Linked DNA regions of Rattus norvegicus. Each later gene encodes a partner of the first gene's protein in a complex. Links are inferred from orthologs where the notes say so. Each region holds a gene or a part of one and is shown on either strand. Other genes may lie near its edges. The genes, in order: Crb1 and Pals1.

What was found.
Region 2: the proteins of Crb1 (region 1) and Pals1 are in contact, whole or in part, in a crystal structure (PDB 4UU5), measured with the Homo sapiens proteins. The link is inferred for Rattus norvegicus from reciprocal best matches to the Homo sapiens genes CRB1 and PALS1. Residues at the interface, in NP_957705.1 of Homo sapiens: Ala1401, Met1402, Glu1403, Arg1404, Leu1405, Ile1406; in NP_071919.2 of Homo sapiens: Lys261, Pro266, Leu267, Gly268, Ala269, Thr270, Val271, Arg272, Asn273, Ser281, Arg282, Val284, Val314, Asn315, Val317, Phe318, Leu321.

The regions. Positions count from the first base shown.
Region 1 is NC_086031.1:53,386,350-53,397,196, forward strand, and holds part of Crb1 (protein crumbs homolog 1 precursor), read right to left. Parts: intron 10,044-10,847; coding exon 9,137-10,043; intron 7,124-9,136; coding exon 6,995-7,123; intron 3,701-6,994; coding exon 3,574-3,700; intron 1-3,573. UniProt on the Homo sapiens protein: Plays a role in photoreceptor morphogenesis in the retina. May maintain cell polarization and adhesion.
Region 2 is NC_086024.1:103,349,358-103,360,204, reverse strand, and holds part of Pals1 (protein PALS1), read right to left. Parts: intron 7,636-10,847; coding exon 7,558-7,635; intron 7,204-7,557; coding exon 7,057-7,203; intron 5,378-7,056; coding exon 5,216-5,377; intron 3,950-5,215; coding exon 3,872-3,949; intron 42-3,871; coding exon 1-41. UniProt on the Homo sapiens protein: Plays a role in tight junction biogenesis and in the establishment of cell polarity in epithelial cells.

The DNA.
Region 1 (10,847 bases):
TTAGTTACAGATTCATTAGTGCAGTCTTATCTGTCCTTAATCCATTTCTATGTAAAAGTTCAAGTGACCTTTGAGAGTATAAGTGTAATTGTCGCTTTTATGTTGAAGCCTTTAAAGGCCCCGCAAGTGGTCTTAGGATGGAAAGCCATAGTCTTTACATGACTTTAAGCATTTTCCGTTTACTTCTAGAGCTGAGACTAACCATGCTCCCCCTCTGTTTCCTAGCTATGCCATGCAAACTTCACAGCACCTCCTGCCTGGAGTATTGTAGTCTTCCCCATCTCTCCTTTCCCACCAAGTTTCTACTTACCTTCAAATCTCAGCAAAGCCGTTGTAAAGCTTGCCTTCTTGACCCTCTACATCCAGTTTTAATTTTGGACAAAACCCCCTTGCTTCGCAGGCCGCACAGTGGAGACCTACTTTTATCACAACACTGGCTGAAGAATTCCTCATCTTGATTTATCTGCCTTCCTTACCTACTGTTCCTTTTGGCTTTATATGGGTGAGCATCGTGTTCACTCATGGCGGTTGGCCAGGAGTTACCAGGGAGTGCCATAGTGTAAGTCCTCACTACATCATTTGTTGAGTACTAAAGGCCACGCCAAGCAATACGGAAAGGACATTAGTAGTTGAAGCAGAATTCTTCTCTAAATCACTAAACTCAAATAGTATAACCCTACTTCCAGAAAGAGCTTTAATTTGGAAGTATTGACTAAATAACTTCTATTTTAGCCATCTTCCAGAAAAACTTAGTAAAATAAAAGTTGGGGTGGGAGGAATTTATTGATATGTAGTATTGAAAAAGTGTAGTTAGAAAAAAAAAAAACGATGTACTGAAAATGGTTCCTCACACTCCTGACCCAGATTTCTGAACCAGCACTAACTGAATTTACTTTTCTCTTTACAATCAAAACATGGCATCTCTCCACGTTTCCCCGTTTCTCTTTTTTTCAGCAGAGAGAGGGGGGGGGGTGCTTCAATCCACTCCCATGTATATACTCACAAAGGAGGAAGACAGTCAACCCCAATCACAATCCGGTGTGCTACAGCTGTTAATGATGAAACATCAGCAAAAAAATGTAGTCAATTACAGAGATTTGATATGCGTGTGTGTGTGTGTGTGTGTGTGTGTGTGTGTGTGTGTGTGTGTGTGTAAATTAGGAAAACCTGAGAACCTGAGTGTGTGAATTTCTGTCTTTTAGGTGTGATGGTCTTTCCTCATGACCAGGTCAAACTAAGACCAGCTTTGTCAGAGACGATATAAGTCAAGAGTGAAACAAATGAGCTATTGGATTACAGAGTCACTTGCCTACCAAAGAAAGTCCATGGGACCTGGCCTTGGTGTCATGGTGCTTACTTGCAATGACACGTAAGGGGGAAGGAGTCATCAAGAGATGACTACTCATGCTTGTGTCTGGTGTCCAGCTGCTGCTGCTGGTGGCGGTGATGGTTGTCTGCGCAACTGAGCCTAGTTGCGGATCACTTACTGTGTAACCCTCGGTCCAAGTAAGCAAAGGCATGTGTCACCAGAGAATGACCAACAGAACGGAAGGAAGAAAAGATTTATTTTTCTGTGAAAATGAGGAGAATCCTTAGTCACACAGACATACTTGAACTATGGAGAAATAAGGAGAATAGAAAGAGGGCATTTAGCAAAAAGCTATTAAATGCTAATAAGACAGTTGGAAGACAGGAAAACAATCAACAGTTACAGTGACAACAGAAGCATTAGAACTGCACAGAGAATGACACTGTGGGTAAATACTCCTTAAATATATTCTATAGGGAGCACATCACATTGAGGACAGTTGAAGTCATGTGTGGAAGGGAGCAAACCTGAAACTCTGCATATTGTCTCTGGCTGTAATCTACTCAATTGCAAATACTTAAGAGTGCAAATATTTTTGGAAATGTTTTCCCTGCCTTTCTGGCTACAAGGTCTCGTTTTAGGAGAGCGGTGTGGACACCATGCTTTGGATACAAGGAAAATGCTGAGAAGGAAGGTCAGAGCTCAGCGTCATTACTATTGTGAAAGGGTTGCTGCGGGGTGGAGGCTGCTACGTAAAATGAATAAGTACTGAGGAATAGAGCAATACCCCTTTGTGTGACTGGCATATCTGGATTCGCCTTGGTCATTGCCACAGAAAAAGCTCTTTTTAAAACAGTCGTGACCCACTGAGCATTGATAACATGCAAAACACAAGTTACCCACATGCCTTCAAACCAGGGCAGCTCCTGAAGACACGGGCACATTCGCAGAAGGGTGTCTTTCAGACTACTGCTGCTTCAGTGGTGGTGTGAATTCATTCAAAGTATTTCCTCCTCAATGAACACTAATGACATCTCTGTTGGACTGATATAGACCCCCCCCCCCCTTGCAAAGATATTTTGCATAAATACTGAATCAGGGAATTCTTGATGGGAAAGTCAAACCCCCTACAAATGTGTCAGTACCTAACGGAAAGTTTCCAATTGTAACGGAAAAGGGGGAAACGTGAGGGGAACTAATAGAGAAAATGCTCTCTGCTATTTGCTGGTGGAAAGAATGGTCCATGATATCAGAAGTGATGCTGATGAAGGATACTGTGAGCATCTTTTTTCTGTGTTCCTGGGGGGTGAACTCATTTCTTCTTCGTGTAGAAAAGAACTGTCCGTGGAGAATAGCTTTGCAGGAAGACACACATGACTATAAAAATGTTTATAGGTATTTTTAAATGTTCATGTTACATATAACTGGTGAGAAGGAGGACCACACACCGCATTAGAATCATGGTGAGGGGGGGAAACTGTCAGTAGGAAAATAGGGAACGTGCAGAGGTGGAGTGGAGAGAAAAGGTTTTCTAAGTGTAATGAAAATCATTCAATATGGAAGCGTTGAGGACGACAGTGGCCTGGACTCAGCAGGCTGGGTGGTGAGCTCTTTCTGACTGTATTAGAACATTCTTAGGGGCTGGAAAGAGCACTGACTGCTCTTCCAAAGGTCCTGAGTTCAATTCTCAGGAACCATGTGGTGGCTCACAACCATCTTTAATGGAATCTGATGCCCTCTTCTGGTGTGTCTAAAAAAAAAAAAAACTAGAATAGGAAAATACCTTCTATAGACCCAAACTGCTTGTGGTGTCCTTAAATGCATTGTCATCCTCCAAGTCTGCAGTCCTCAACCTGTAGGTCATGAACCCTTTGGGGGAATCAATGACCTTTTCACAGGTGTCACTTAAGACTGTCAGAGAACCTAATATTCACATTATGATTTATAAGAGTAGAAGGATTATGAAGTAGCAGTGAAAACAATGTTATGGTTGGGGCCACTACAACAGGAAGAGCTGTACTAAAGGGCTGTGGCATGAGGAAAGTTGAGAATCACCTCTCTAAATGGATTCTATTCCCTAATTTTCCCTTTGTCGTACACTGAGACAAGATGTTTCTTGAAAGTCAATGTTTTACACGTTAATAATTTTCCTGTGCACCCCACTCTACCTCTGGCTCATCATTCATGCGCAGAATGAGGTAGGACAGGAGTTGAAAGAGGTTTTGCCACAGTAAAAGGGACACATAGAAGGAAAGGCCGCTTACATCCAGCTCACAGCGCTCGCCCGCAAAGGCCACATCACAGATGCACTGGAATCTGTTGACCAAGTCCCTGCACAGGCCTCCGTTGATGCAGGGGTCAGAGGCACATTCATTGATGTTCTCTTCACACCTTGAAAATGGATATAAAAGCAGATGCCCCAGGTCAGGCAGGCGGATTGTTAGATTGAGCAATGGTTTGTCCCTCTTTCTAACATGGCATAGAGTTTGCACCAAATCTACCCAATTAAACACACTGGATAATTTCAGAGGTTCCTTAAGAGCCCTTTAATACATTCTGAGTTTTGTGGAAATTTGTCTGTGCACAAATGCACAGACATAGGTGTACACATTGAATTAATTCAAATAAGAAAATGACTGCAAATATTTAGAAGTCCTGATTGTCCCTCAGGAGCGTGGGTCAGTTTGCCACCTTTTAAATGTCAGCTTTATTGGATAGATACTGGGGGGCTGACTTTGCTAGCCTGGAATCTACAGGGCAGAGACAGCACAGGCTGTGAAAGTTCTAGAGTTTCTCTGCCTCAGGATAGACTTGGCTAATTCTAGGAGATGTTGGATTATTTTCCTTTGAAATTCAATTTGTTTAAGCATTTAGAAAAGTAAGGAAGAACCCAGTTAATAAATCCATGGTCTAAGTAGTGACAAGGAACTCTAAACGTTCTAGTAAGTGTTTTCCTATATGACTTTTCTGGGAAAAAAAGAACAATGTCCACTCTAAGGTACTTGAGTACTGTCTGCCTCCTTTTCAACCGATATTTTTTTCTTTTGATTTTTTAAAAAACTGATATATGAACACAAAAATGGCAGACACGTTGGATGTGTGTGTGTGTGTGTGTGTGTGTTAGTGTGTATATGTGTGATGTTGATACTGTGTATACAATGGTGTATGTTCAAATGAGGTTGAAATAATCAAATGGCACATCGTTCTATTGACGCTTTCATTGAAGTTTTAGGTTTTTGGAATGTTATTATGTATAGTCGCAACTCCTTGTTCTGGCCCTCCAAGGATTAGTTCAGTAGTTTTATTTACCGTGTGCCAGATACTCTGCTAAGGGCTTGAGCAGTGGTGAAGGCATTTGCGCTATCTTAGGAAAAACTCTGCAGAACCATTTACGCTATAAACTGTTTTTAATCTCCACTTCCCCCCAACGTAGAATGTCTGTGTGTGCAGAGACTTCTCACCAGGCTCTAATGCAAGGGCCGAGGTGGAGGAGCTGTGAGATGGTGTGATGGGAAATGGAGATTCAGTCCAAGGAAAATAGCTCTTTATCCATGGGATAGCGAACATAGCTGAGACTCTCTGTTTTCCTTTTACGGCCCTGGCTTCTGGGCTGGAAGGAGGCTTCTCTGATTAGATCCCAGCCAAACTTGACAACTCTCAGGAGCTTGCCAAGTACTCTGTGTATGGGTGGCCAGCATTCACACCATCCATCACCTGAACGTGCTGGACTGACTGACAACATGAAGCTGGAAGCTTAGGCAAGCTCAACAGCTTCTCAGTATCCTCCGCTGTGTGGAAGTCTCACAGCTCTAGGCCTTGGGAGACGCCGAAACATTTCCAGCCCTTCCTCCTGCTTTCTTTTATTCCCTTACTGATTTCCATTTTGAACAAAACAGTGGATGCTGCATATGCATAGAAAACAGCAGGGGAGCCTTATTAGAAAATAATAGGACTGAATGTGGTGCCTCATTCCCCAAATTCCAGCAGTGAGACAAGTCAGGCAGAGGAATGATAGCAAGTTCGAGGCCAGCCTCCTCAATGTAGCAGCAAGCTCTAGACAAGCCAGGGCTACAAATGGGATCCTGTCCCCAAAGAAAAAGCGAGATAAAAACAAATGAAAAAGATGATAATTAATATATGGAAAGTCAAAGTAAAGCCATTAGGATCTCCTGAATTCATTAATGATGATTAATGTGTTTGCAAAATCAGAATATATTAAACGCACATTCACTGTTAGAAATAACTCTGTACTAGTGAAGTCTATGTGGAGACAATCTTCCCTGGGAAGAAAGGAAAATTAGTAATCCCACCTTCATCTCAATCAATAATTTAAATGGCAAGTATGACTTTCAAAACTGATATACATTGGAGGAAATGGAAATATTTACTGCAAAAAATAACTGAGGGTTTTGGATGAATACTATTCATTGTGCTATTAAGGGGAGATAATATTATTAAGCCAGGAGGCAACGAGCATTTGAAGATAGTAAAGAGTTATTTATGTTTAGGCCAAAGATCTATTTACAATATTTTGAGGATATGAAATCGGAGGCATGTCATGCTGTGATAAGCTGGAACACGAATGGGACTCCTCTAATTCCTTCTGCACACATGTGTGTCTCAACTGCCTGTACCTTATTCTAGGAGATGGAGAAGCACATTTTGTATTTTGCTTTAGCTGTGCTGAGCAAACGCTTACTCACAAATTCACGTCAGCTTTCCCAGTAGAGCAGCACCAGCTTCGATGGCAGCTCAACCTTCATTGCTGCATACATTTAACTCAGCATCAATCTGTAGCTTAATCCGCATTCACCTTCACACACACACATGTACACACACACATACATACACACATGCACACACACATGCATACGTGTACACACACACATACACACATGCACACACATACATATACACACATACACACACATATACACACATGCACACACACATACACACACATGCATACATGCACACATACAAAATAAAAACAACAAAATCTTGCTCACAGAGCTCTGAAATGTAGGTATATGGGTGGATTAGTGCTAAACCAATGGTAATGTTGTCTAAATAATGCCTGTGTCCACAGAGTCCTGGTTTTTACCAGTTTGGGGATGGAGATCTCTTGGGGCATCTGATCAAAGCATGTCTTCTCTTCCCCTTGATCACACCCCAGCCAGGCAAATGCATACACAACTTTCCCTGTATCACTAGCTGGGCACCTCTGACTAGGTGAACAGTGAAAGGGCTTCTCTGTGAACGAAAGAATTGCCCGGGTAAGGAGTACATATACTTTGGGTTGAAGTCAATCAAATAAGGTAACTTTTAGGTGTGTTTTATTTTACTTCAAAAGCAACCATATTGAAATCATATATTAGAGTTAGCGTGGGGAGGGAAGGACTCCGTGAATCCAGAAGTACTTATAGGAAAGAATAAATAAGACATTATGTATTTTAAAAACCGTATTTTCTTATTTGAAGTCTTGGCTGGTAAAATATTCTATACTTTGACCTACCCTGTAATTTTTCTTCTTTTTTATTGCTTGATTCTGTCTGGACCTATATTTCAACATGGATTTTTTCCTGTGGGAACTGAGATGAAAAATTGGAGGAGAAAATGAACTCTGGGCAATCCCTCTGTTCTTTAGCTCAGAACTTTTATCCATAAAGTTCCAGTGTAACTCACCACTCTCCAGTGAAACCTGGCCGGCACACACATTTCCAGTCCTCCTGGAACACGGAGCAGCTGCCTCCGTTGTAGCAAGTGAAGTTTGTCTTCTCGTTCCCACAGACTGTTGAGGGTAATCTGCTGTGTCTAGAGAGATAAAAATAATGGCCACAGCTGTTTATCTTGTTCATCCCATGCAAGAAAAAAATTTTTTTTTGAAAAGTTCATATATGTAGTCAATGTTAGGCTAATTAAGCTCTGAGGCCGAGGAACAATTAATGCTGGATTGTGCTGCATCGTAAAACACGACGTTCTTCAGCAAAAAGCCCCTGCTGGAGCCCACTGCAACCAACGTGGTCATCCATCTTTCCTTCTCCGCAGCTTTCGTGCATAAGATAAGATCTACGCCATGGGGTGGCCGTAAATTCAAGTCTGGGAAGGAGCTCACTCTAGCTAGAACTGCAGCTGCTTGTTCTAATAAATCAACAGAGGCCATAGGAAAATTGCATCCCTATAAAGGGCAGGAAAACAAGGAGACCACTCTGGTACTCAGGCCCTCGTGTGATTTCTCTGTTGGCTTTCAGAACTGAACTACAGTTGCCCTGCCAAGACTTGCTTGCTCCCTCTCTCATAATTCATAGCTTTGCACAGCGCCAGCCAAGTGTTGTCCAGGCGGTTTGTGTATAATACTCAGTGTGACTACATGTGAGTTCAGCATGGGGTTCTTGGTATAGCCGCAAAGCTAGACACACTGAAGAACTCTTATAAAAGGCAGAATAGATTGTTAAAAGCTAAGAAAATACTGCTGGACAGAAATCCCTAGGCTTGAAAGGGCTGATCTTGGAGCAGATTTAAAATTATTGCTCAGGACCTTCAGTCATATGTGTGTGTGCACATATGCATGCATGCATGCGCGCGCGCGCGCGTGTGTGTGTGTGTGTGTGTGTGTGTGATCAGATACAGAATGAATATTCTGGAAGTGGAGAGCAAATTCACAATCGTCCTGTTATACCCTGAAGCTAGCACCTGGATGATGGTGTAGAGGTGTGTCTTTTCAAAAGAGTGTGTCTTTTCAAATGAGCCTAATAACTCTACTTCAAAAAGAAAATATCATAAGGACATTTCAAAAGAGTTAAGAGTGCCAACCGGCTCCAAAAGGAGTCATTTGCATTGCAAATCTCCAGCTTTATACGCAGCACCTTGGCTTAATAAATAGCACCCGAAAAGTTCATTAGAAGGGACTTTTGAGAACTTTATTCTTTAACTTGACTTTGATGGATCAGTCAGAAAAAGACTCAGAGAGCTCATTCCTAGGGCATATATATTTTCTTATCTATGGTCACTGTGTAAGACTCTTAATTTGTACCCCCAAGTTTTGGTTTTAACCAGTCAGGTTACTCCTTGACAAATGATCCTGTTAATTTGCAAGAAATAATGTCTATTAAATCACCTGAACACTTAGGACTTCTCACTGTGCCTTGCCACTGAAGCTCTGCACAATATTAGATGCTGCAGAAGATGAACACAGCTTCTCCCAGGCACGGCTGCATGTAATGTGTGCCAAAATGCTCTACCTGTGGATTAAAGTGATGCTTACAGCCTGCCAATTTACTCCACTCCAGGTATTCTTGTCCATGTCCTAGCATATGGTATTCGTTAATAACTACCCTTTCACCTCCCTATAATGACTCGGTTATTTTATAAATGTAACGCCAAAATATCAATAACAGTAACAGGATTAAAAGATTCTTTGTTTAATCTCTATTTTTCATAGCATAAAAATGACGTGGTCACAAGAGCAATAGACTTCTATTGCAATTTCAGAACAAATGTGAAATTCTTTAAAATGGGTTAAGTTGAACAGATATTCTTGTAGTGACATGCTGAGTATTGTATAACGACCATTTTGCATTGGTGTATGCCCTAAATTTTCTTTATTAAGCTGTGTCATAATTCTCTAAGTTATACAAAAGACTTGATACAGGATATTGCACAATATATAATTGCACCTTTGCATGATCAAATTGTGATGGGAGTGTTCCAAACCAGTCTTGTTTAGCACATGTGGATGGACATTTAGGGGGGAGAGCCTCCTAGCCTGACAAGGAAAATTCAGAGCAGAGCCCCAAAGACTGAGCTCCTCACCGACTTTGTGCCCACCTGCAAAATCTGCCGGTAAAATTTCCAAGACAGAGGCAAGAGTAGCCCTGAGCGCCACTGACGCAGGTGGCCCCATTGGCACACTGATGACTCTTGCAAGTGTCTACCTCCGCTTCACAGTTCCCACCAGTATAGCCAGGCTCACACCTGCAGTGGTAGGCTGCAACCCCGTCCGAGCAGTTGCCATGGACACAGGGGCTGGAGGAGCACTCATCAACGTTGATTTCGCAGTGTGCCCCCGACCATCCCGGGAGACAGGCACACCGATAAGAGCTGTAGCTGTCTTCGCAAATTCCTCCATGCAGACAGGGGCTAGAGTGGCAGGCACTGAGTGGCAAACAGCCAGTAAGTGCCACATTTGTAGAAACTTTGAGAAACTGCTCTTCTTGGGGCTTACTAGTGAAACCATGAAGACTTTCAAAGTAAGAGAGATATAGCCCTCCTATCTGTACTGTGCTCAGACAGCCCTGCAGGCCTTTCTGATTGTCAACAGCTTGGTCACCCACATAGATGTCAGTATTGTCCTTCAGAAAGTTCAGGTTTCCAGTAGCAACTGCACTTATCACAAAGGGTGTCTGGTCGTCCACCTCCATCTGCCACAGGGAGGTCTGGGCCCGTGGGTCTATCATGGAAAAAGTCACTCGGTGCCATGCGCCGTCATTCACCAATTGGGAACCCGTCAGATGCAGCGTATAAAAGCTGTTGCCACTTCGCAGTTGAAAGAGTAGTCTGGAGTCTTGAATGCTAATATTGAGAAACTCTGGTTCTTTTTCTGCATGCAGTATCACCGCATTTGTATCCTGTGTTCTGAAACCAAATGTGATGTTGGTGAGTTCTCTGGTAATATTCCCATTGCTTCTGAACAATATTTCGCTGCTTAATCCGCTGAAAGCAGCATTGGCGATACCTAAAGCAGGAAGGGGAAACTGATTGTCAACTTCATCGCATCACGCCGCTGATGTTCGCACAGCTTGTTAGACCGTTCCCTACTGTGCTATCGGCTCTCAAGTTGTGTCCTATACAGATGCTATCATGGTACTTGTTTTACAAGAGAATAACTTGAGATTCACAGAAGCTGAGTAACTTGGTCATTTAAACAAAACAAAACAAAACAAAAACACCACACTGGAAAGACAAGCCTGCCTATTGTGATTCCAGAATTCAACACACACCTTTCTTTTGTTTTCCATTGGCTTGTATCAGGGAAGCCTTTCTTATCCATTTCACATATAAACTAAACACATAGGAATCACAAACTTAGTTTTGGTGACATGCCAGTTAGTTAACAATGGACCCTGGCTTTTGATTGAGTTAACAGAAACATTCACAAATGATGGATTGATTTAGGACATAAAGACCTTCAATTACATGCCAAGGTACCAACTAGCCATCTACAGCCAAGTAAATTCATGTGGTTAGGAAACTGGAAAATAATAGCTTTTTGTGTTCAGCTATTTCAGCGAATATAGCACTTTTGACCGTCTTGCTGCATTTCTCTATTAAAATCGCTATAATTTTATAATTATAACACCTATCTCCTAAACGTTCTGACTCCATGTCTGCTTGCAGTCTGTGTACAACCTTGAGAAAAGAGAGGTAGAAGCCCCACCCACTAGGTTCTAGCAGACCTGTTGACCTAATGAATAGTGTCCGTGCCAGCCCTCTTTGCAACATTACAGGGACACACTGTCCTTATTCCTTTCTGGAGGTC
Region 2 (10,847 bases), on another chromosome or scaffold:
TCATCTGAGGGGTCATAGTCAAAATGAGCTTTCACGTGGATCTGAAACATAGAAAGGGTACAAATAAGAGCAAGAATTATAAAACAGTAAAACAAAATATCCAGTACAAACGTAACCTATGTGTTCTACCAGTGCAGGGAAATGAAATGACAGGACATTTAGTTAAGCAACAGCACTTTAGGGCAGGATTTGTTTAAGCTTATCTACTGACATCTCTGTAGACTAGAGAGAAGTAGTTCAAACTGGGTGACTGTTAACAGCTGACAAACTGAGATACAAAGCTGCCTCAAAAGCAAGGCAACCAGAATAGAAGCGGTCTGACCTGTGAAAACAATGATTCTCAGTAAGGCACGCAGCTTCTAAACCACTACTATGAGAAAAGGTAGATTAGTGTCACTAGATCCTATGTAAACAAGTGTCAGCTTTCCTGGGGCTGTCATAGCCAACTGATTTCATGACCAGTGTAGCTGTGCCTTAACTGCTTAGTGTTTCTTTTAGAAGTGCATATAAGTAGCATGTTCCACACTGAGAAATGATCTAAATCAGGATGATCACTGGGAAAAAAAATTCTTACTTTATTTGACTGAAAACTATTCGATCCAAAAAAATATGAAGGAATTAGGTGTTTCTAGAAATGAAGAAAATGTTTATGGGGTGTGTGGGGTCGATTACAAGATGGACAGGAGCTAAAGGGGACATAGATAGGAATTTTAGATGCTGGTGACATTCTGGTTCTTTGGGTGTTGCTTACAATATGGTAAAAATACCATGTTCTAATTAGAAAGTGGGTTTCTATTTATCTAAGATAACTATCTACCTAAGGAACCTCCTATTCTTGATGTGAAAATAGACATTAGATTAAAATCTTGAATACTCAGTACCAACATGAATTTTAAAAAGTTCTGTGGGATAGCAGGGAGCCAAAACATAGTTGGAAGGGTGTTTAAAAAGAACACGCATACAAATTATCAACTGAGTATAAGAAAAACAGTATGAGCTAGAATTGTTTTAGAAACTGGGTGAAAATTGCTTCCAAAATCTATTTAAATTGTTATCTTTTTACATGTGTGTGTCCCCAAACCCTGGGAACCAAAAAAGTAAAATTTTAAGCCTTTCTAGAAGTAGTGAAATTGCTTTAACAGGCTTTGTAGGTCTACCCAACTGGGTGATTTGTCAGGCTGATTTTATTAAATCATTGTCTGAAAGCAATACCCACCATGGCTATGCAGAGTGCATTGCTGGAGTGCCTGCTACGATACTTCTTAAAAGGCTCAACTCCTGCTCTCTGTTTTGAGACAGGGTCTCACTTTGTAGCCCTGGCTGTCCTGGAACATCCTATGTAGACCAGGCTGGCTTCAGATGTCAAAGATCTGCCTGCCTTGCCTCCCAAATGCTGGGATTAGAGGCATGCACCACCACCAAAAAGCTGAACCCTTAACAACACCTCAGACTTGTGGCCTCTGCATTGATAGACAGTTGGGTGTTAGATAGAAAGGTCTTATAATCCTCTATCATACCAAGGGAATCCAAAAGACCAGTGAGGGATCAACATAGCTTTATGATCTGTTCCAAAGGCAAGAAAATCACTCAAGGATGCTTTTCAATTTACTCTAGCCTACCCAATTCATTTCCCAGTCATCCTAATTTAAGTGGCTGGCAACCTGGAGGATTGCTTCATGTAGCAGAGGACATGTTATATTTATAGGACAAGCGCATCTCGACACATCTGAAATGTATCACGCCAGCTGAGCCTTTTATTTTGTAGTAACTAAAGGTAGACAGCCAATGGCCTCCACAGGATAGGATACTTCTTTTTAAGTTTCTTCCCCCCCACTAGCCCAGTTACTCTAACTCACAGTTTGTTTGATGTCAGCTTCCCAAATGCTGGAATTAGCTGTAAGCCACCATTCCTAGACAGTTATTTCATTCTTATGTTTATAAAAAACAAGGGCCAGGCATGGTTATGCACACCTTTAATGCCAACACTTGTGAGACAGAGGCAGATCTGCGAGTTCAAGGCAAGCTGGTCCACAGAGCGAGTTCTAGGATGCCCAACACTACCCTGTCCCCAAAGTCCAAAAATAACCAAGAGCTGTGATGAATGAATTATTTCAGTACTCTGCTTTTGCATTTGCTGAAAACAATAACAACATACAACATTAACTGAGAAGCAGCAGCATCATACAGCACGCTAGTTTTATCTATTAAAGTAATTTTAACAGGCCTGCATCTTGCTGCCACACCTGATGACCTGAGTTTGATTCTTGGGACCCACATGGTGGAAGGAGAAAACTGACTCCCTGATGACCATATAAATGCTGTAGTGCATATGCACCCCTAAAAAATAAATGTATAGCTGTAAAAGAAATAACTTTTATTAAGGGTAATTCCAGGTTGCATGAGCAGTAGAAAAGAAAAGCTTATAAAATATACCTCAACCTCTGACACTTATTCTCAAAAGACAAAAATCATTTACTGAGGAAGGATGGATTGATTATCAGGAACATTTAGAGGACAGCATGTTTCAATGCTCTTCAGTTGTGTCTCTTTTCACACTGGAGGCTCAGTTACAGGACAGACACATGGAAAGGCAAGCACAGACACATGGAAAGGCAAGGCACAGAGAATGGCTGAATTCAGAGGCCAAGTCTGTTTTTTCATGCCTCTTCCTACAAAGAATTCTAAACACACAAAAAAGGTTGCAAATGCAGTATCAACTGGAATATGTTCTGGAAAGAAATAACAGAAAACAGAAAGAGCCAAATAAAATAACACACCTGTGGTAAAAGACAAAGTAAAAATGAAACTGGTTCTTTTTCAAATAGTTAAAATTTTGGGAGAACTAAAAATAACAGATGTAGAGGTGGATATGAACAAAGCACAATGCTATACACACATAAAATGTTACGATGAAGCCATGATTTGATTCGGTAACTGAACAAAAATAATGATAAAAAAGAATAACAAATGTATAAATGAAGACCAGGCTTCCATATCAATCTAAGACCTTAAAGCCTTATTTTAATTGCTTATGACGTAATTAACATGCTACACAATTTACAGTTTGAGTATATGCGGAGACAGAGGCTGACCACTGATACTGTTAGAATATTTCCAGCCTTCTGCACCCACTACTGATGAGGGCCATTCCCACTCTCTCCCAGTTCCTCATCTATACATTTAAGGGGCCACTGAAACATTCCAGTTTCTATGAACTTACCTATTTTGGATATTGTACATAAATAAACCAGTAAAGGCCTTGTGATTGCCATAAGTTTTTCAAGCTCATGTATTTTGTAGAATATACTCTACTTCAGCCCTTTTAATCAGATAATATCTCAGTGTACAGACAGATAAACCATGCTGTATTTTCAAATTATCGCTGGTGGCTATGGCTATTTTTAAGTTGTTTTTACATTTTGGGTCTTATAAATAATACCAGCATGAACATTCATGTATGAACTGTTCTATAGTAAATTCTCCTAATATTCTTTCCAGGCATGCTGGGTTGTACAGTAACCAAGTCTATCACTTAATAGAGCTGTGTTAAATATTTAACATATAGAAATACATCAGAGTAATGACTTATACATATTTGTAAAAGTACCCTTCTCTACACGACTAAACGAAACTCCATTATAACTGAAGACAAACAACAATGTTAAAATGTCTGAAACTGAACTATGCCATATATTTTACTTTTAAAAAGTTCAGTTTACTAAATTTTAAATGATGTTTTATACTTACTTAAATACAATTACCTGATTTCTCTGTTTTTACTTGAACACACCATATTCAGTCAAGTTTCTGATACAGAAAAGCAGACAGAAGTGGAAGAGGAATAAGCAATACATATTTTAAAATTACTTACTACAGTTTCTTTGGCGGGAGGAGGCTTGATCTGTTGACTAGGAATCAGAACAAATGTCAACGTACCGTGCATATCAGACTGTAACAGAAAGGTTAAAGTACTTTAAAATCGTCCATGATCTTATGATTAACATTCTGATGGCGGAACTCCCTCAGTCCTAGAGGGAAACGTTCCCTTCCTAGCTAATTTCATTATTTAGTCTTGTCACCATGTACTGTACCGAGTTGTGCAGCCAGATTCGTAATCACTGCCAGTGCAGCACTAGCTGCATTCAGACACAGCCAGCCTAGACCGCACTCTTCCTAACTTCATGCGGATAAAACAAGGAGCAGTGCTCAGTGCACGACAGTATCAATCAAATGGGCTCTGAGGGATGACTTGGCTCTTCCAGAGCTACAGGCAGAGATTTAGGGAAATAGGGATATGGATATTCTCTAGCTTTTACAACACACATTGGTAGGTAGTAGACATACTACGCAACACCTGATGCTACATAATTAAGATAAGTACACACATTGGTTTGTAGACGGGAGTACTGGCAGATGCCATGGGAGGAAAATCACCAAAAAGGCCAGTCTGGGATATATACTGAGTTTTACCTCAGACCTTGCCTCCAAAAAGGAAAGAAAAATCCTAATTTGTGTTGAATACAATATGATTAATCAAGGCAATTGGGCTAAGCATGGTGGCACATGTGTTTAACCCCAGCACTTAGTTAAGAGCACTTGTGGCCTTTGCAGAGGATCTCAGTTTGATTCCCAGCACCCATATTTTGGCTCACAACCATATGTAGCTCCAGCTTTAAGGGAGCCAATCTTATTCTGACTTTCTCAGATACCAGTCATGTATGTAGAGCACATACATACATGCAGGCAAAATACTCATAAGGCATAAAATAAGTAAATCTTAGGAAATTAAAGAAGGTAATTAGAAGTGACTACCTAATTATCCTAGCACTGCCCAGTAGAATTTGTTCAACAGAAATATGTTGCAGCTATCTCAGACAACAGCCATTAACTACATAATAAATCTTGTTCAACTATAGCTAGTGAGAATAAGAAACTGAGTTTTAATTTAATTCATCAGGCATGCACAAGGTATACTGACACATGTAGAAATAAATCTTTAAAAAAATAGTAAAAGTAAAACTTATAATAAAGTTCACAGTAAATAAAAATAAACCCCAAGCCAAAAATATAATAACAAAAATTGACAAATCCTGTAAAAGTTAGGCTAAAAACTACCTTATACTCATCAGTTATTTAAAAAATATTCTTTAATAATCTAAGTTTAATAACAAAACAGGCTTTTAAATGAATCAAATATTCTACAGTCTGAACATACCAACAAGTCAAAAACCTCATTGACGTCCTTGCCCCGGATTTCGATGCCATTGATCTCTAGGACTTCGTCTCCTTCGTGCAGAAGCCCGCTCTTCTCTGCCGCGCCTCCTTTCACTATCCGACTTATGATGACAGAATCCATCTCATTACGAACCGTGGCACCCTAAAAACACCCAATATCTAATTTAAACATAAAAATGCAATTTTTTGTTAAGCATTTCATTTTTAAATTTTATTTTTTTTAAATCTAATAAGACTAGCTCTTAGTTTATCTTAAGGAAAAACTTTACTCGCATTGCTACACTAACAACTGTAATTTAACATGAGAGCTAAGCGTTCCTCACCAAACATTTGTTTCAGAGATGCTTTATTCATTAAAATTCTGTAGTACACAGACTTCTGAAACATATAATAGCAGATAATATAACATATACTCTGTGTTTAAAGACATAAAATCAAAATTTTTTTCTGCTGGATTCTCTTCCAACAGCTAGAAAACATCTAGGTATATAATTAACACAATGCCTAACTATAAAGAATTTCTTAAAATTCAAAATATAATCAAAGGATAAATAACAATATGGCTAACTATGCAAATGTTAAACAGCTGCAACCAAATGCATCAAATACTAATATTTATTATACAAATTAGAAGAACAGTGGGAAAGTATATACTCAAAAGCTGGAACAGTAAAATAAAGTAAAACTTATTTTCTAGGGCTCAGTGGTTAACAGCTTTTGTTCCTGCAAAAGACATAGATTTTGTTCCCAGCATCCACACTAAACAACTTACAAACCCCTGTAACTCAAGCCAGGGGACCCAAGTAACTCCCTTTCGTCCTCTGAGGCACCTGCATGCATGTGGTACACATAAATATACTCAGACATATATGCATAATGAGTAAACAAATATTAAAAAAGGTCCTAATTTTCCTAAGTATCACTTTTCTATTATCATGACTTTTCCTTTTATTCTCCAAGAAGGAACTAGTTACATAAAGTGCTTATACATTCTTTTAAAAAATATTTTTATTACTTTATTATTTAGTGTGTTTATGTGGTGTGTGTGTATGTGTGTGTGTGTGTGAGAAAGAGAGAGAGAGAGAGAGAGAGAGAGAGAGAGGGAGGGAGGGAGGGAGGGAGAGAGAGAGAGAGTGTGTGTGAGAGAGTGTTGTGTATGTGTGTCCCTGCGCATGTGTGTGCTGGAAGTCCTCAATCTCTCTCCATCTCACATTTGGAGCACTTAACCTGGAACTAATCTGGCTAGGCTGGTGGCTAGCCTGCAAACTCCAGAGAAGTCTGCCTGTCAGTGACAGAGCTGGGAGTACAGACATATGCCATCATGCTTGGCTTTTCATGTACGTGCTAGGGTACAACCTCTTGATCCTCATGCTTTGTGTGCTAAGAATGTTCCAATCAAACCATGCGCCTAGTTCCCAAAGACCAGATTATCTAACTTCTGTTGTAAAGAGTAAGTTAGAAAATTAGTTTTCGGTTGGGATTTAGCTCAGTGGTAGAGCGCTTGCCTAGCAAGCGTGAGGCCCTAGGTTCGATCCTCAGCTCCAGGAAAAAAAAAAAAAAAAAGAAAATTAGATTTCTCTTCTTGATCTTCAGTAAGTATTTCATAAGTTATTATTTTCATTAAAATGTGAAAATTAAAATGAGAAAAGGTAATGAAATTAGTTTTTCAACCAAGTAAGGCTTTTGAGCAATAGCATATTACAATTAACAAATTAACCCACAAAGAGAAAACTCTCCAGGAACATAATGGGATCTTCAACTCTGTACCATATGAGGTCTTAGCATAGAAAACAATCTTAGATCAGACATGAGAACACTTACCAATGGAATATCCCGAGCCTTTTCTATACGAACTATTTTTACAGTTTCTCCCCCATAATGGCCGATACTTTCATAGACTCTCTCATCTGTTATGGGCTCTAGCTGCATTTCCTGCTCAGCAACCTTATCATGGGCCAGTAAAAGTGCCTGTTTCAAAGAAACCCACAGTGCTTCAAGTGAGAACATGACTTATTTTTGTATAGTTTTCTCATGCACCGAGTATTAAAATCAAGTCCATAAGGGCCTAAAACAGCACAAATATGTAAGGGACTTTTGATCAGTTTTTAAAAATAAGCTATTTAAAAACATAATTTGTAAAGTTTTACATATGGAATTGTATAACCCAGCAATAATTACTTTGCAGAGAGGGTTACAAACTACATGACTAGGTCTCTTCCAACTCTAGGAGACTGTAATTAAAAAAACAAAACAAAACAACAAAAACAAAACAAAACAAAAAACCGAATATTAGAAACAAACAATATTCTGTCCTTTTTCTACCTGAATATGTGGAGCATTTAACAAAGCAGTTAATTCTTGTCCTTCCTTCTGATGGACTGGCTTTAAGACAGTTTGTACCTAAAGAAATAAAAAAAATTTTTTTCTTAGTTTATAGCAATTAGCAGCAGCATCTATGCAGGAGAATATTTTTAAGTGATAATAAAATGGCAAAACCACTTAAAGAAAAACACTAAAGAAACATAAGAAAAAAAATCTTTTCTCAGAGATCTTTCAATCTTATTATAGATAAAAATAAACATACTTCAAATATCATGGTAGTTACAACTGCAAATGAACCATTTCAATTTTTAAAGTTTCTCCTAACATAGCATGAAATCCACTTTAATAATTACATGACAGAAGATCTGTTCCACCTATAGTTATCATGCTGTTTTAGAGATTTAAATGCTATGTTTCAAGAACTACATTAAAAATCGGAGATGAGGGTTGGAGAGGTGGCTCAGAGGTTAAGAGCACTGACTGTTCTTCCAGAGGTCCTGAGTTCAATTCCCAGCAACCACATGGTGGCTCACAACCATCTGTAACGGGATCTGATGCCCTCTTCTGGTATGTCTGAAGACCGCTATAGTGTTCTTATGTATAATAAATAAATAAATAAATCTTTTTAAAAAATCTCAGATGAAAATTTAAAGTTACAGATTCACAAGATAACTGTAGCAGTGCTGGACACTGTTTTCTTAGGATAAATCCCGCAGTTCTGATACGGTTTTCAGGTCCAGTCTTTCGTCATATGCAGGCTGGCCCCCATCATGTAAAGCTCTTCAAAGGCTGACCAGATGACCTCAATGTGGGTCTGCACTTGTGATCTTTCTTTCCTAACATTGCTGGATGGCTTAACTATCTTAACCACAGTGTTGTTTTTTTCCTGGCCTTTTTTTTTTTTTTTTTTTTTTTTTTTTACTTTTCTATTTTTCGGAGCTGGGGACTAAACCCAGGGCCTTGCGCTTGCTAGGCAAGCGCTCTACCACTGAGCTAAATCCCCAACCCCTTTCCTGGCCTTTTTAAAGAACCAGCTATTAATGTCATGATTATCTATTCTTCCTATTAAGAAATTTAAGTACTCTTTTCCATTCCCTTGGTTTCTAACTAATGGACTAAAAATTAAGCCCACTTATTTGCAGTTTTCAATCTTCTACCAATGAATATTGAGGCAGCTATGTTCCTCTGCACACTGCTTTCTCCCAGATTATCCTCTTTATGCCTCGTTTTTGCCTTTGTACCTCCAAATCCCAATTCCAAAATGGTCCACTGCAATAAAGTAAATAACAAAACCAAAACTGTGACTATTAATGGAAGTATAAGAGTAACCAATGATTTAAACAGGAATTCTATATCCTTTATGGTTACTTTATTAGCAATTCTGCAATTAAACCTTTACAGTTTTATTGGTAAAACGAGGACCAATTTTAACCACAATGGGCATACCAAAGCAATGATAAGGGCTGAAGAAAGGCTCCACAGTTTAGAGCTCTTGCTGTTCTTTTTTTTTTTTCTTTTTTTAATTTTATTAACTTGAATATTTCTTATATACATTTCGAGTGTTATTCCCTTTCCCGGTTTCCGGGTAAACATCCCCCTAATCCCTCCCCCTCCCCTTCGTTATGGGTGTTCCCCTCCCCATCCTCCCCCCATTGCCGCCCTCCCCCCAACAGTCTAGTTCACTGGGGGTTCAGTCTTAGCAGGACCCAGGGCTTCCCCTTCCACTGGTGCTCTTACTAGGATATTCATTGCTACCTATGAGGTCAGAGTCCAGGGTCAGTCCATGTATAGTCTTTAGGTAGTGGCTTAGTCCCTGGAAGCTCTGGTTGCTTGGCATTGTTGTACATATGGGGTCTCGAGCCCCTTCAAGCTCTTCCAGTTCTTTCTCTGATTCCTTCAACGGGGGTCCTATTCTCAGTTCAGTGGTTTGCTGCTGGCATTCGCCTCTGTATTTGCTGTATTCTGGCTGTGTCTCTCAGGAGCGATCTACATCCGGCTCCTGTCGGCCTGCACTTCTTTGCTTCATCCATCTTGTCTAATTGGATGGCTGTATATGTATGGGCCACATGTGGGGCAGGCTCTGAATGGGTGTTCCTTCTGTGTCTGTTTTAATCTTTGCCTCTCTATTCCCTGCCAAGGGTATTCTTGTTCCCCTTTTAAAGAAGGAGTGAAGCATTCACATTTTGATCATCCGTCTTGAGTTTCTTTTGTTCTAGGCTCTTGCCGTTCTTATAAAAAAGATTGAGGTTTAATTCCCAGAGCCCACTGCAGGTAGCTCACGACCACCTGTAACTCCAATTCTAGGGGATCTGATTTCTTCTTCTGGTTCCCATAACCACGTGTGCACACACCCACCCACAAATATAAAATATTAGAAAACCAAAACAAACCAAAACAGGACAGTGCAGGGTGTGGTGATATATTCCTTTAATCCTCTCATTGCATAGGCAGGAGGATCTCTGTGAGTTCTAGATAAGCCAGGGCTAACCAGTGAAACACTTTAATAAACAAAGCATAGTGCTGAGACCACGGTCCTCTAGTTTTAGTACCAGAAACTATAGGTAAGTAAATGCTGATTTTTAAAGACACTGCTTTCCTTTTGAAACTTTATGAAAACTACTCAAAGTTAATTTGAAATCTATAGTCCCTGACCAAATACTTTGTTACTGCTGGAGAAAGCAACTCTCAGAGGGGAAGACAGGTTTGAATTAAAAACAAAACAACAGGGGTTGGGGATTTAGCTCAGTGGTAGAGCGCTTGCCTAGGAAGCGCAAGGCCCTGGGTTCGGTCCCCAGCTCCGGAAAAAAAAAAAAAAAAAAAACAACAACAATGACAACAACAAACAAACCCAAGACTTTATAAAAGCTACAATCAGGTCAATAATATTTTAGGTACTTTTTTCTGTTTATACTTTTAAGTCAGTTCCTAAGCATCTCTGATAAATACCCATTTCTGTACCAGCCAACACAGATGCTGTCTATGCTGGTGCCAGTGCACACCACTCGCAGGCCAAGGGAGCTGAAAGACTGTCCTTATATGTTACCTGCCCCTCCCACTGCCCAATGAAAACAGATCTGACCACGTATTTCATTAAAAACAAGAAATGGTCAATGACCACACAAAAAAATAGTGTCAGCAATCATGGTGGAAAGGAAAATTAAAACAAGACACCCCCACACCACATATCTGAGAGTCAGTAGCCAGAGAGCTGACAAGATGGTTCAGTAGGTAAAGGCACTTGCCACCAGCCTGATAACAACCCCAGCTCATTTCCCAGAATCCACACAGTT